Linked DNA regions of Neodiprion lecontei. The protein of the gene in region 2 purifies or fractionates together with the protein of the main gene of each other region. This does not show direct contact. Links are inferred from orthologs where the notes say so. Each region holds a gene or a part of one and is shown on either strand. Other genes may lie near its edges.

What was found.
Region 1: the proteins of superoxide dismutase [Cu-Zn] (region 2) and protein dj-1beta purify together in Homo sapiens (affinity purification with mass spectrometry; 4 studies listed by BioGRID and IntAct, with this or other methods). This does not show direct contact. The link is inferred for Neodiprion lecontei from reciprocal best matches to the Homo sapiens genes SOD1 and PARK7.
Region 3: the proteins of superoxide dismutase [Cu-Zn] (region 2) and triosephosphate isomerase purify together in Homo sapiens (affinity purification with mass spectrometry; 3 studies listed by BioGRID, with this or other methods). This does not show direct contact. The link is inferred for Neodiprion lecontei from reciprocal best matches to the Homo sapiens genes SOD1 and TPI1.

What each region holds. Positions count from the first base shown.
Region 1 is NC_060264.1:28,362,806-28,366,524, forward strand, and holds protein dj-1beta, read right to left. Parts: upstream 1,986-3,719; 5' UTR 1,774-1,985; coding exon 1,687-1,773; intron 1,427-1,686; coding exon 1,265-1,426; intron 1,120-1,264; coding exon 930-1,119; intron 835-929; coding exon 707-834; 3' UTR 607-706; downstream 1-606. Other genes in the region: UNC93-like protein, read right to left, coding at 2,911-3,170, 3,292-3,559, 3,661-3,719. UniProt on the Homo sapiens protein: Multifunctional protein with controversial molecular function which plays an important role in cell protection against oxidative stress and cell death acting as oxidative stress sensor and redox-sensitive chaperone and protease.
Region 2 is NC_060266.1:24,806,432-24,810,733, forward strand, and holds superoxide dismutase [Cu-Zn], read left to right. Parts: upstream 1-1,879; 5' UTR 1,880-2,042; coding exon 2,043-2,108; intron 2,109-2,199; coding exon 2,200-2,296; intron 2,297-2,848; coding exon 2,849-3,036; intron 3,037-3,315; coding exon 3,316-3,426; 3' UTR 3,427-3,663; downstream 3,664-4,302. Other genes in the region: transmembrane channel-like protein 7, read right to left, coding at 1-241, 337-578, 670-844; uncharacterized protein LOC107217425, read right to left, coding at 4,234-4,302. UniProt on the Homo sapiens protein: Destroys radicals which are normally produced within the cells and which are toxic to biological systems.
Region 3 is NC_060263.1:38,379,616-38,383,334, forward strand, and holds triosephosphate isomerase, read left to right. Parts: upstream 1-1,527; 5' UTR 1,528-1,649; coding exon 1,650-1,758; intron 1,759-2,061; coding exon 2,062-2,315; intron 2,316-2,463; coding exon 2,464-2,844; 3' UTR 2,845-3,073; downstream 3,074-3,719. Other genes in the region: histone H2B-like, read left to right, coding at 429-800; 39S ribosomal protein L20, mitochondrial, read right to left, coding at 3,131-3,379, 3,567-3,677. UniProt on the Homo sapiens protein: Triosephosphate isomerase is an extremely efficient metabolic enzyme that catalyzes the interconversion between dihydroxyacetone phosphate (DHAP) and D-glyceraldehyde-3-phosphate (G3P) in glycolysis and gluconeogenesis.

The DNA.
Region 1 (3,719 bases), on a different chromosome or scaffold from region 2:
ACGCAATTCACAGTCAAAGTCTGTAAAGAATAATACATTTTAAATGATTTAGCCAATTTTTGATATCATGTCTGTAGTTAAGTGATAGAACAGTTTGAAATTGTGTAAGATACGAATTAGAAACAAATAATTCTTCAGTACAGTGTTCTAGTGCTCCTAATTTCTGTGAATATAACATACACGCACGTATTTAGAATTGCCTGGTTCAAGAAGTTTTGATAATATTTTTTCTACTCAAAAGTTGTTATAGATGTGAATTTCACCAGTCATAGATATTTATTCTGATTTCAGAATTTACAAAAATGAAGTTCCTCAACGTTGTATTTGTGTTGGCGGCAGCTTTGGTGCTGGCACTGGCGGGATGTGAAGCACAGAGGTTCGATTTTCACATTCCACCATTCAACCCAAAAGACAAAGTCAAGCTTCCTCCAATTAGATTTTAAGCCGTGCTGCAGTAGGATGAAATAATGTAATATGTGAAAAATACAATCGATCTTGTTTAAGAGTTTTCTGAAAACGTTACTTTCTTGTTTCTCTGTCACTATTGCAATTCTTAAGTATAGGAGAGAATCTAATCTTAATAATAATAAAAGAAGTACACGTAAATCTTATAGAAGTAATGTTATTTATTAAAAACTGTCATTCGTCATCCTGGCCAGCCTTCTGGAAAACTTTCTCTTACGTCGCTTCGTCTTGTAGTACCAAATTACTTGTACTCATCACAAAGCATGCCTCGGGCAACTGTAGTTGCTTCTGGTTTTCCTATCAAGGCTTCAACGATTGCCAATCCAAACAAGTATGCAGTCGAAGGTCCCTGGCTTGTGATGAAATTGCCTAAATCATAAGTAAAAATGCATCAATTTACTCTTTATGCATCAAGTTAGCAGTAGGTAATAAATAAGTTTGATGTTCATTGTGCAGTTTCTCACCATCAATCACCACCTTCTCATCTATATACGTATAGTCATCTTGTAACTGATCCTTCATCGATGGGTAGGCAGTGATTTTCTTGCCCTTGGCAAGTCCGTGGGCTTTCAATGCAGTTGGCGCTGCACAAATAGCTGCCACTAGTCGATTTTCACTCGCTTGTTTTTGGAGGATGGCGCCAACTTTGTCCGACTGTGATAAAAAGTACATTGTGTTCAGATAGCAGACAGAAATTTCAATTCAGGTAGGCAAGATTTAGAGGGTTTTTTTTCTTCCGTTTTAGGCTGAAACTATCCATGTATACCTGTAGGTAAACGGAATGTATACATGACCTTACTTTAGCCAAGGCTTGAGAGCCAGCAAGTCCACCGGGCATTATAACAACGTCGTAAGCTTTATCCTTGTGTTCATCCGTCAGTTGTTCATCGGGGCAAATTTTCACACCTCTGCTACATGTGACGACATTGCTGCCGTCGAGACTGGCTACAGTTACTGCAATCTGAAAAAAAATGGAGACGTAGTAATATCCATGCAGCTATTTTCTCATTTTTTCTAGCACTATAGAAGCTTAAAAACGTAGCTCAGGCACTCATCACATTGGTTTCTTTTTATATCATACTTGTCCCAGTTTAATCTTGGAATTTAAGGTTTGAGGTAGATCATTAAGAGGACGAAATATTAAAGTTAAAAAAAATAACAATACCGGTATATCGACGTAGAATCTTGTTGCATACTGTCAAAATAAATGTGCATTCGTACCCCAGCACGTCGAAGAACATCGATGGTGATAACCGCTTCCATTTCCTCCGCGCCTTCGGCCAGGAGTAAAATCGCTGTTTTTGGCATTTTAAATTAGATTTTTGATTCCTCTTCTCCGTGTACTTGTATTCTATACTCGGCTTTAATCTTTAATAGAATTCTAAGCCAAGGTCATCTACGCGCCGCACCGCAACAGCTGATCGCTTGACGAACGTAGAGCGTGAATATAATTGAGATTGTCACTTTGCAATGCGTCATCTAGTAGAAAAAAATCAAACTAATGCAACCAGGTAGCTGAGACATACTGCTGATCGTTGACCGTGTTTTTTCACGTGTGGATAGTAGAACACATATATTACTGGTCGTGTTTAATTAATTTATGTGATACGAGTAATTTCAAACCCCAAGAATTACGATTTGCCTCCATTAAAATTAAAAACTTTGGTTATGTGGTGATAAAATGGCGCTGATAACCAGGCTCTGACGTCATGTGGACAATTTCCAGTAGAAACAGGCGCGCAACGATTCGAGCGAGGATTCGAGAAGCGATTTGAAATACTCCCCGTGTTGCGCGCCGCAGCGCTGCTGCTCTGAAATGCTAAATAAACACGCTTCATAAATAATCAGGAGAATTCAAAAAGACTGGGGCGATTTATTTTAGGACAAAAGTACAAGGAGACGCGTGACGTTTGAAGTCCGTTCCAGGAATCCAGAAAGATACTCGTTGATTCCAAAAGACGTTCGTTGATTTTTGACTAATTAAATAAATACATGCATATTCGAAAGGGGAAACCGTAACAATATTTTGAAAAATGCTTCTGGTTTTTTTTCAGCCGGTTTCAAATGGCACCATTGAATACACTTACACCTTTCACAATTTTACCAGAATACAATTTTCTTTACATACACAATACAACTGATGAAAAAATTGAATTATTTCTACAATTACTTCATGATGATACGGGTTCATGATATATTGGTTCTAGCTAAAATATCGCCAAGTGTTTTCAAATCATTTTTCACCTGTGGCGTACCGCTTTTTAGAGCCATATAACTAGTGTCCGGAACCAATTAATATCACTTTAAGATCGACACTCTCTTAACTATTAAAACATTATACTTTCCTGGATATGCTTCCACCCTTAGTCTCGCCATGCATTTAATATCATATTCAATTTATCACGTGCAAGTCGTACCGATCCTACACTGCTAGTACGGAGTTAATTAGCTAGAAGCTTCTCTAGTTGCAACGAGCTCGAAGTTCTTTCTTTCATCTGTAATGGTCCGACTGGCTCTACCCTTCCGAATGATAATCACGTACCCAGTAACTCCTATACAAAGAATAGCCAACAAAATGTACAACTTTATGTTTGTGCATAAGTAGGGGCTGTAAGCATAGGCTAATACTGAACCGGTTGCTTCCCAAAGTCGGAAGTTTGAATAAGCAGCTTCTTCCTTGCCAGGGAAAAGAATGCCACTCAATGCTGAAAAAGAATAATAAGCGGTATTTCTTCATCCATAAATTAAGATGCGTAAAAATAATAAGATCCGGATAGCAAGTTAACTGATTCTAAATTTAACAAGTCAACTACAATTGTCACTCACCATTAACTTGAACAAGCCAAATAGCATCGCAGACTCCCCACAATCCCGACATCATAAAAAATATGATTCCCTGTTCCGGTGTCGGCTTCCAGAGCAATAGTGCTACTATTATTGCAACATGAAGAATGAATGCGAAAACCATTACCGGAGTTCGTCCAGTGAGTTTTACCACGGACCCCGTGCTTATAGCAGCAATCGCATTTGCCACTCCGTAGCAAATCATCACGTAACCGATATTACTAATACCCCATGCGCAGGAGACGAACGCCTGCGATTAGTAAATAATAAGCGGTTGTGAGTTGCTAGAAGTGGCAGGAAACAAGCAAATTTCATTGGCCATGTTCTCGACTCATTCCTTGGATTACTTACGGCGTTGAAATCGGCAAAAAGGAAAGCTTGCTCAGCCCCGATGAACAGTGTTATCGGTA
Region 2 (4,302 bases):
GCAGAAGGATAAAAGCCAGTATCAGCAGAAACAGCAGTACGTTTAAGAACATCAACCATTTTAAGAACAAAAAATATGCCACAATGCCTGTGCCAAAGTTTCCTTCAATTTTTTTCAAACTGTGGTGCCACAGTTCCATTTTCGAGTACGTCTCTTTCAACCGAACACGAAACTGCTGCCATACCTTTCTACGCTGCCATTTCAGCTGATCAAATCCTTGCAGTCGCAGTTTTGTCGCACTCTTTGAAAGAAAATAATGTTATATTAGTTACCGAATAGTTTACGTCTAATTAAACTTAGCAAAAAAGGATAATGGAAAAGCGAAGAGATTTATACCTGCAGCTGATGTTTCAGCTGTATTTTTTGAGCCATGCAAATCGGCATCGCCTTTATTTGCATTATTTCTTCCCAAATTCGTTCCTCATTGGACAAGTTTTCCGAGAGGTCAGGCAGCATCGCTACTGCGACATCGTGCACATTAGTAGACATACGTCGCACCGTACTTGCTCCACGGGATCGAGTGCTTGTTCTTCGTCTAAGCGTAGTTCGCGGCTCATTTCGAACACGCTTTGTAGTTGCTAAAACAGAGGAAATAATAGCATCTAGAAAATGAGTAAAAATGACAAACTGTCGGACGGAAAAGAGTATGACAATGATAAATTGTCTTACCGACACGGGTTTTTTTGCTCGGTAGTAACGTGGCTATGTGTGACGGATCTCTTTGCAGTGCCTGAAGGTCAGCTTCTATGGCCGCAGGATAGCTTTCTTGATAGAATTCTGCGCCAGCTTCTTCCCACCCTTGACCGCCTCCTCCGCCTCTCTTTTTTCGCTCACCGCCAGACATTTTGGTCTTGCAATTATTTGTCAGAAAGATTTACTAGACGCGGTATTCCTGTGTTTCAAAGGGTTACACAGCTGTTATGATCGGTGCGGAATATTTATCACCAGTGGCAAGATATGGTGCAGGGAACGAACTCGAGTTAATATTGTGAATAACACAGGAAATTGGACACCTTATTAACAGCTACAATACATCCGAACACGATAAATGAGAAGATATAATCAGACGTTGATCGGAAACGTACGGTACGTCCGCGTTTAACGAATTCTTTTAATCTGTGATAAGCGGTATCTTTTTAATCATTGTACCTATGAGTAATAACTGACTCGGAAACAACACATTTCACTTATCAAACCTCAATCTGGCTAAGTCCAAGATTGCCTCAGACACCGACGAGTTATACACAATTCATACGTGATCGCTGCGCATTTTCCATTTTAGTTGGAATTTACTGTTCCAGAGAGTCGGATTTCCCGATCTCCTTTTAAGGTATTTTTATAATTCTAAAACCCATTTTGGACCGAGAACAATGACCGTGTTTCTCTCATGAAACGGAGAAATAGATCGAATCGTATGATAAAAGTCTTGTCTAGGTCGAGCGAGGCTGAACCGTCAACACACTTGGGCATCGTCGCTTTAATTGTAAACGTCAAATTATTTTGGAGAGTGAGCTGCTTGATGGCTGAAAGGAAGAACACGAACCGAATGCTACCTACTCATCTCTGCTACGCGCAGAGCCCGAATCGCAAGGTGGCGTCATCTCTGAAATATCAATAAAATAAGGCGGGTGACGTTGCCTTGAGCTGGAAGCTAAGGGCTTTGATTATCCTACGCTACCGACCGAGCATACACGTACGGAGGTGGTATATCAGTACATTTTGTCTTTCTCGCTCTGCGCCGTGATTGGCTGAACTCGCTCTGCTAGCCAATCACGGTGCAGAGTGAGAGAGACAGCGTGTACTGAGATTTACCTCCATGCTATGAGCTCTATAATACTACATAGCGGGCGACTGTACCCCCATTGACCATAATATCGTTTCACACGGCACTCAGACATCACTTTGCATTCATGATTCAGCATTAGAACGCAAAATATCGGAAATCATTTCGAGTGGCCAGTTGTGTGACCAGTCGCGTTTGATCAACAGAGAGTGTTGTTACGTTCCATTTCTCCGCAACCGGTATCTCGTAATAATCCAAAATGACCGTGAAGGGGGTTTGCGTTCTCAACGGAGAAGTTAAGGGCACCTTATTCTTCGAACAGGCTGTAAGCTTAGGAAAAGATTTCTTTTACTTCTGTTTCTCATCGCCTCCTTGATACCCGCTCCTACCTCAATTCGTCATAATTGCTATTTCAGGGAGATTCTAGCCCCGTCAAAGTCACCGGAGAAGTGACTGGTTTAAAGCCTGGGCTACATGGCTTCCACATACACGAGTTCGGCGACAACACTAATGGTTTGTATTAAGAAAAATTGCAAAAATAAAAATATATCAAGGAAACTATTACCTTGTTGATATCAGCGAGAAATTACGTCGCTGATGTAGCACCATAATTTTAGATACTTCAAGTCTGACTTGCAACAAAAAATGCAATTTGACTTGGTGATCATAAGTCAAGGTTCACGGTCAACAGGCAAGGAATGAAAACTTATCTCCTTGTTATATAATCCAATACTGTCCATTAGCAATATTTGAATAGGTATCCTTGTGCTGAGTCACTCTTAACGTTATGTAATTAGACAGATTAATTTGATTACAAGTACGGATATTTTTACAAAAGATTTATGACTTGAACAATACTGACCTCGTCATTGAGAAAATTCACTGTATGAGGGATTGGTTCCTAATGACTTTACACTACATATCTAAAAATTATTCTCCATACTGTGCTATACTTTAAATTGCTGATGAATTATCACTTGTTGGGGTAACTTATCTATTTCGTAAGTCACTTCATACATTATTCAAGCTTATCTATGTATGGTATAATACAAATACTTTTTTAAGGATGCACCAGTGCTGGACCACACTTCAATCCGTTAAGTAAGGAGCATGGAGCTCCCACAGCTGAAATTCGTCATGTTGGTGACTTAGGAAACATTGAGGCTGGAAAGGATGGCGTTGCCAAGGTCAACATAACAGACAAGCTGATTCAGCTGCAGGGACCACACAACATCATTGGCAGAACAGTCGTGGTAAGTGACTGACTAAAATTATATATTTTTTTCCATGAAAGACAGATATATAGTCAGTCAAGGTGGCGAAAGACCAGGAAGCCTGGGAAAAATCAGGGAATTATGACGGACATTGAAGGTGCAAAATTTCTGGAGCTCTTGTTTGTAAAAGCCCAGCACTATAAGAAATTCTGAATTTTTTAACTAGAAAAGTCAAAAAATTGTATTTCAGGAAAATTGTCATCGCCCTGAGTACATATTATGTTAATAATGTGCTAAAAATTGTGGTGAATATCGCAGGTTCACGCAGATCCCGATGACTTGGGCCTAGGTGGGCACGAGCTGTCCAAAACAACTGGAAATGCGGGAGGTCGTTTGGCTTGCGGCGTTATCGGTATCACAAAGGCCTGACTGCGCAATAAAATCTAAAAAGCCATCGCAGATATATCGATACTGACACTTTATTCTTACTTTTATCTTGATTGTTATAATTACTATTAATACTGGTCTCTTGAACTTTCCAAAAGTTACTCGTCATTCCCTGTATGTACTATTAGCATAGATACATTGTTCTGAAGAAACCACCAACTATCTCGTTGTGCCTTGTGCCAGCGATACACATATATAATAAAATCTAATTAAAAATAATTTGGTCGCATTTCTTCAATTTTTTTCGAAACGGACATCACACCCAGTGAGTGAAATGATAATTATCACCAACGTTAAACTTTTATTTCGCATATTCGTTTTACAATTATCAATAATTAATCTTTTACGATACTGCTGTAGACTCACCTGACATTGTGAGGAAATTTTTATTGGTTCTTTGTAGAAATAACCACTTATTCATTCGATCAAGTGATTTCTCGATATATATAAATAATAACATGCGATGGTCTATACAATTTCATAAATATCCAACAATTATTATCATTCCATTTTAAAAACAAAAATATATATATTTATATATCATAGATTAAATAATCAGTTCTACTCTTCACTAAGAATAGAAGTTGAGAATTGCAAACACAAATTATCAGTCTTCGAAGCCTAATTCAGGGAAAATAGTAAGAACCATGCACCTCTATCATTTATCACTGTCGATTTTATATGTATACAATTTATTTTGGTAAATAAAACCTGCAGAATACGATGATTCATCACTACTGAGAAAGCAATCTGAAGATGAATATTAATACACAGAAAGTAATTTTCGATTCAGTAATCACTAAATCTGCCACGAGGTTGATGGACTCTTTGACCATAACCATAACGGTTGTGAGCTTG
Region 3 (3,719 bases), on a different chromosome or scaffold from region 2:
CAATAATTATACTGTTCTAAGGAATGAATTTTTCGTCATATACATATGTATACAATTGTGATTCATAGAAAATACATTAGTATAAATCCCGCGACCAGACCTAAGTTTGATGATATAGACGAATTAGAGGTACGGAATATTATAATTATGTGGATAAATTAAGCAACCCAACATAAAATAAAGTTCGTAGAGTATAGCTTGAAATTACATGCCGACCCACAAACACGACTGCAAGCTGCAAAGCGGAACGTGCAGCCGGGCTTCTCGTTTCCCGGCATGCCCGGTGCGGGTAACGATGGGCGTGTCGTTTGGAGCTCTGTGCTCTCTGATTGGCCCGGCGGCCGTACCTGGCCGCCTAATAAATATGCTGCTTGAGAGAGCGCAGGTACAGTCGTCCTTCGATTCTCGACATCGACGCATAGGAGACAATGACGCCAAAGTCTAGCGGTAAAGCAGCGAAGAAAGCCGGTAAGGCTCAGAAGAATATATCGAAGGGTGACAAAAAGAAGAAGCGCAAGAGGAAGGAGAGCTACGCTATCTACATCTACAAAGTCCTGAAGCAGGTCCACCCAGACACTGGTATTTCGAGCAAAGCTATGAGCATCATGAACAGCTTTGTCAACGACATTTTCGAACGCATTGCCGCCGAATCGTCTCGTCTAGCTCATTACAACAAACGCTCGACGATCACATCTCGGGAGATTCAAACTGCTGTTCGCCTTCTGCTTCCTGGAGAACTTGCTAAGCACGCTGTCAGCGAGGGTACCAAAGCTGTCACCAAATACACCAGCTCGAAATAAGCGCGACTGCCTCAATTTGTTTACGAATCGGCCCTTTTCAGGGCCACTAATCATTGTAAACGCTAAAGAACGGTATTTCACAGATGTAACAGTCTGAAGTGTGTGAGGGGTAATTGTACAACCTTTTATGGCGAATTGTTTGACAATTTGGTGATCTCGTTATTTTTTTAATTGTCCAAATATCTGCATACCTTACTATCACGTCAAAATCTTTTCCCGCAATGTGTATGAAAAAGTTTCAGTATATTATACAGAATTCGGGCGCAATGCGTTGAATATCAGACAACTTCGTACGTGAATTATAGGCTCTGCAAACAGCTAATAATTATAAGATCGAATATTATCTAAGCAATAATTTTAAATTCATTCTGAGTCTTTTACCAAGCTGATATTGGCTTCATCAGTACTACATAATATTACGGATATTTAAATGCTCACATCGTGCGTCCTATTCAGATATATGTGTTCAACATTTAGCTTGCCTTCTGGAATAATAATTACCGAAAAGTGTCTGACGGGTTTGATATTAATCAAAACAAAAATCCACCTACACGTTTACTTTGAGCTGCAGGTATCCACGTGAGAAATAGATGGAAAATAGATGCACGCATGTACGGATATTATGTGCACTGGGTAGCGCGAGAGCTCTCAATCCCCTCCTGTGCTCTAAATTCTCTTGGCTGATAGAGAGGGGATGTCAAGTGGAGGGGACGACTGAGCCCAGGGCGGATTTCACCTTGTCGCTTATTGTGAAGGTCACGCTAGCAGGTATTTGGTTAAGTTCTCGCAGAGAGCAGAACAATTCGCAAGTATTCATCAGAGAATTGTCAGCAAGGCAGTCTGAGAATCATGGGTCGTAAATTTTTCGTTGGTGGTAACTGGAAGATGAATGGAGTGAAAAAGGAAATAGACGAAATCGTCGCATTTCTAAAGACCGGCCCCCTCGACCCGAATGTCGGTACGTGCAAGTTGCAATGTTACGTTTATTTCAAATAACCTACTGTGTATGTATTAACATTGCGTTTCTCCAAACAAATACAAACTAAATCTGTAGGCAAAAGCGTCGTCTCTGTTGCTGATGAAACAAAAATTGTACGTTAATACTATTTTATATTTCTCTTCTAGCACTTTCAAATTTTATTCAATATTTATTCGGAACTTTTATCTACGATTTACTCTTGTTGGGACATGACGATAAATCACTGTATTCTATCAAAGAGTCAAAATATCTTGTCACTAATTGCGTTATTAACTTTTTCAGAGGTCGTTGTTGGTGTACCTGCCATTTACCTGAACTATGCCAAGAGTATATTACCTGCCAACGTACAAGTCAGTGCACAGAACAGTTACAAGGTAGCTAAAGGTGCTTTTACTGGAGAAATTAGCCCTGCGATGCTTGTGGACAATGAGATCCCTTGGGTAATCCTAGGACACTCTGAACGTCGAAACGTGTTTGGCGAGTCAGATGAACTCATTTCTGAAAAGATTGCTCATGCCCTTGAAGCTGGTGTAAAGGTAAATCCTTTGGATTAAGTCTCAGTTCTCAATTTTTACATTGGATTGCTTTTTTTTTTTAATAAGAATATTTATACAATAGGTGTGTTGTAACTCGATATGACTCTTGACAGTATTGTATATATCTTATTTATTTTTCACCCTAAAGGTGATTGCCTGTATCGGAGAGAAACTGGACGAACGTGAAGCTGGAAAGACTGAAGAAGTTGTGTTCAGGCAGACTAAGGCGATTGCGGATAAAATCAAATCCTGGGACAATGTTGTACTCGCTTACGAACCTGTATGGGCCATCGGTACAGGAAAAACAGCAACGCCTCAACAAGCTCAGGAGGTGCATGACAAACTTAGGCAATGGTTATCAACGACTGTTAATCCTGCTGTCTCTGAATCTCTGAGGATTATTTACGGTGGTTCTGTGACAGCAGGAAACGCCAAAGAGCTAGCTAAGGAAAAAGATATCGATGGCTTTTTGGTCGGCGGTGCTTCTCTGAAGCCAGATTTCGTACAAATAGTTAACGCTAAGCAATAGACCTAAGTTGATAAGTTTATTGTGTTGGTTGTTACTACTATTAATAAATGTGATTATTGTTACTCTATGAACGAATGTATAATACATATATAGAAATTTACTCAGCGTTAGAGTAAATGGGTACAACAATAATACTAATAATTCAGTCATAAACATCTGGTTCAATTACTAAATATATTTATCATTTTGTTTATTGTATTAGTGAATATTATAAATTACGTTACATCAGCTTCTCATCAATACTATATTATTCTCTATAGCTTAAGTTCACTTCATTCTCTGAAGTTCACTTAAGCATTCCTCTTGTTATTACACCAGGTGGTGTTTTTACATACATCACATCATTAAGACCATCCTGCTTTCCTCTGGCAATTGCTAATTGAGTCAGTGACTTAAAACTTCTGGGTTCCCATATTGCCAGATCAACCAGAGTCTTTCTATCGATCAGAATATTGTTTCGCATCAACGCCTCTTTAAATGTCCGGAGATTTATATCATGCTCGGCACATGCAGCTGTGAGCCTTGTGTTCCAGAGCTGGAAAATTAATAGATCACAACATTGATAATATTGGTAAGATACATTTTGAAATTTTGCATGAAATATATGAACATTTGCTTGTATAGATTCCTGTTACAGTCGCAGACATATTCTTAATATGTGTCAAGGTGTCAGGTAGAATTTTATGTCTTCTACAAATGCTTAGGTTCTATCGAGTACTTACATTCAACATATCAGCTTTCTTGAGCTTCCTACTCATAGTAGCATAACGCAAAGCACGATGTACATATCTTATAGCGATACTGTAGCAGTTTCTCTTACGGCCAACGAAGTGCTGCGGAATATCGTTGTCATTATAATATTCTTAACAAAATTC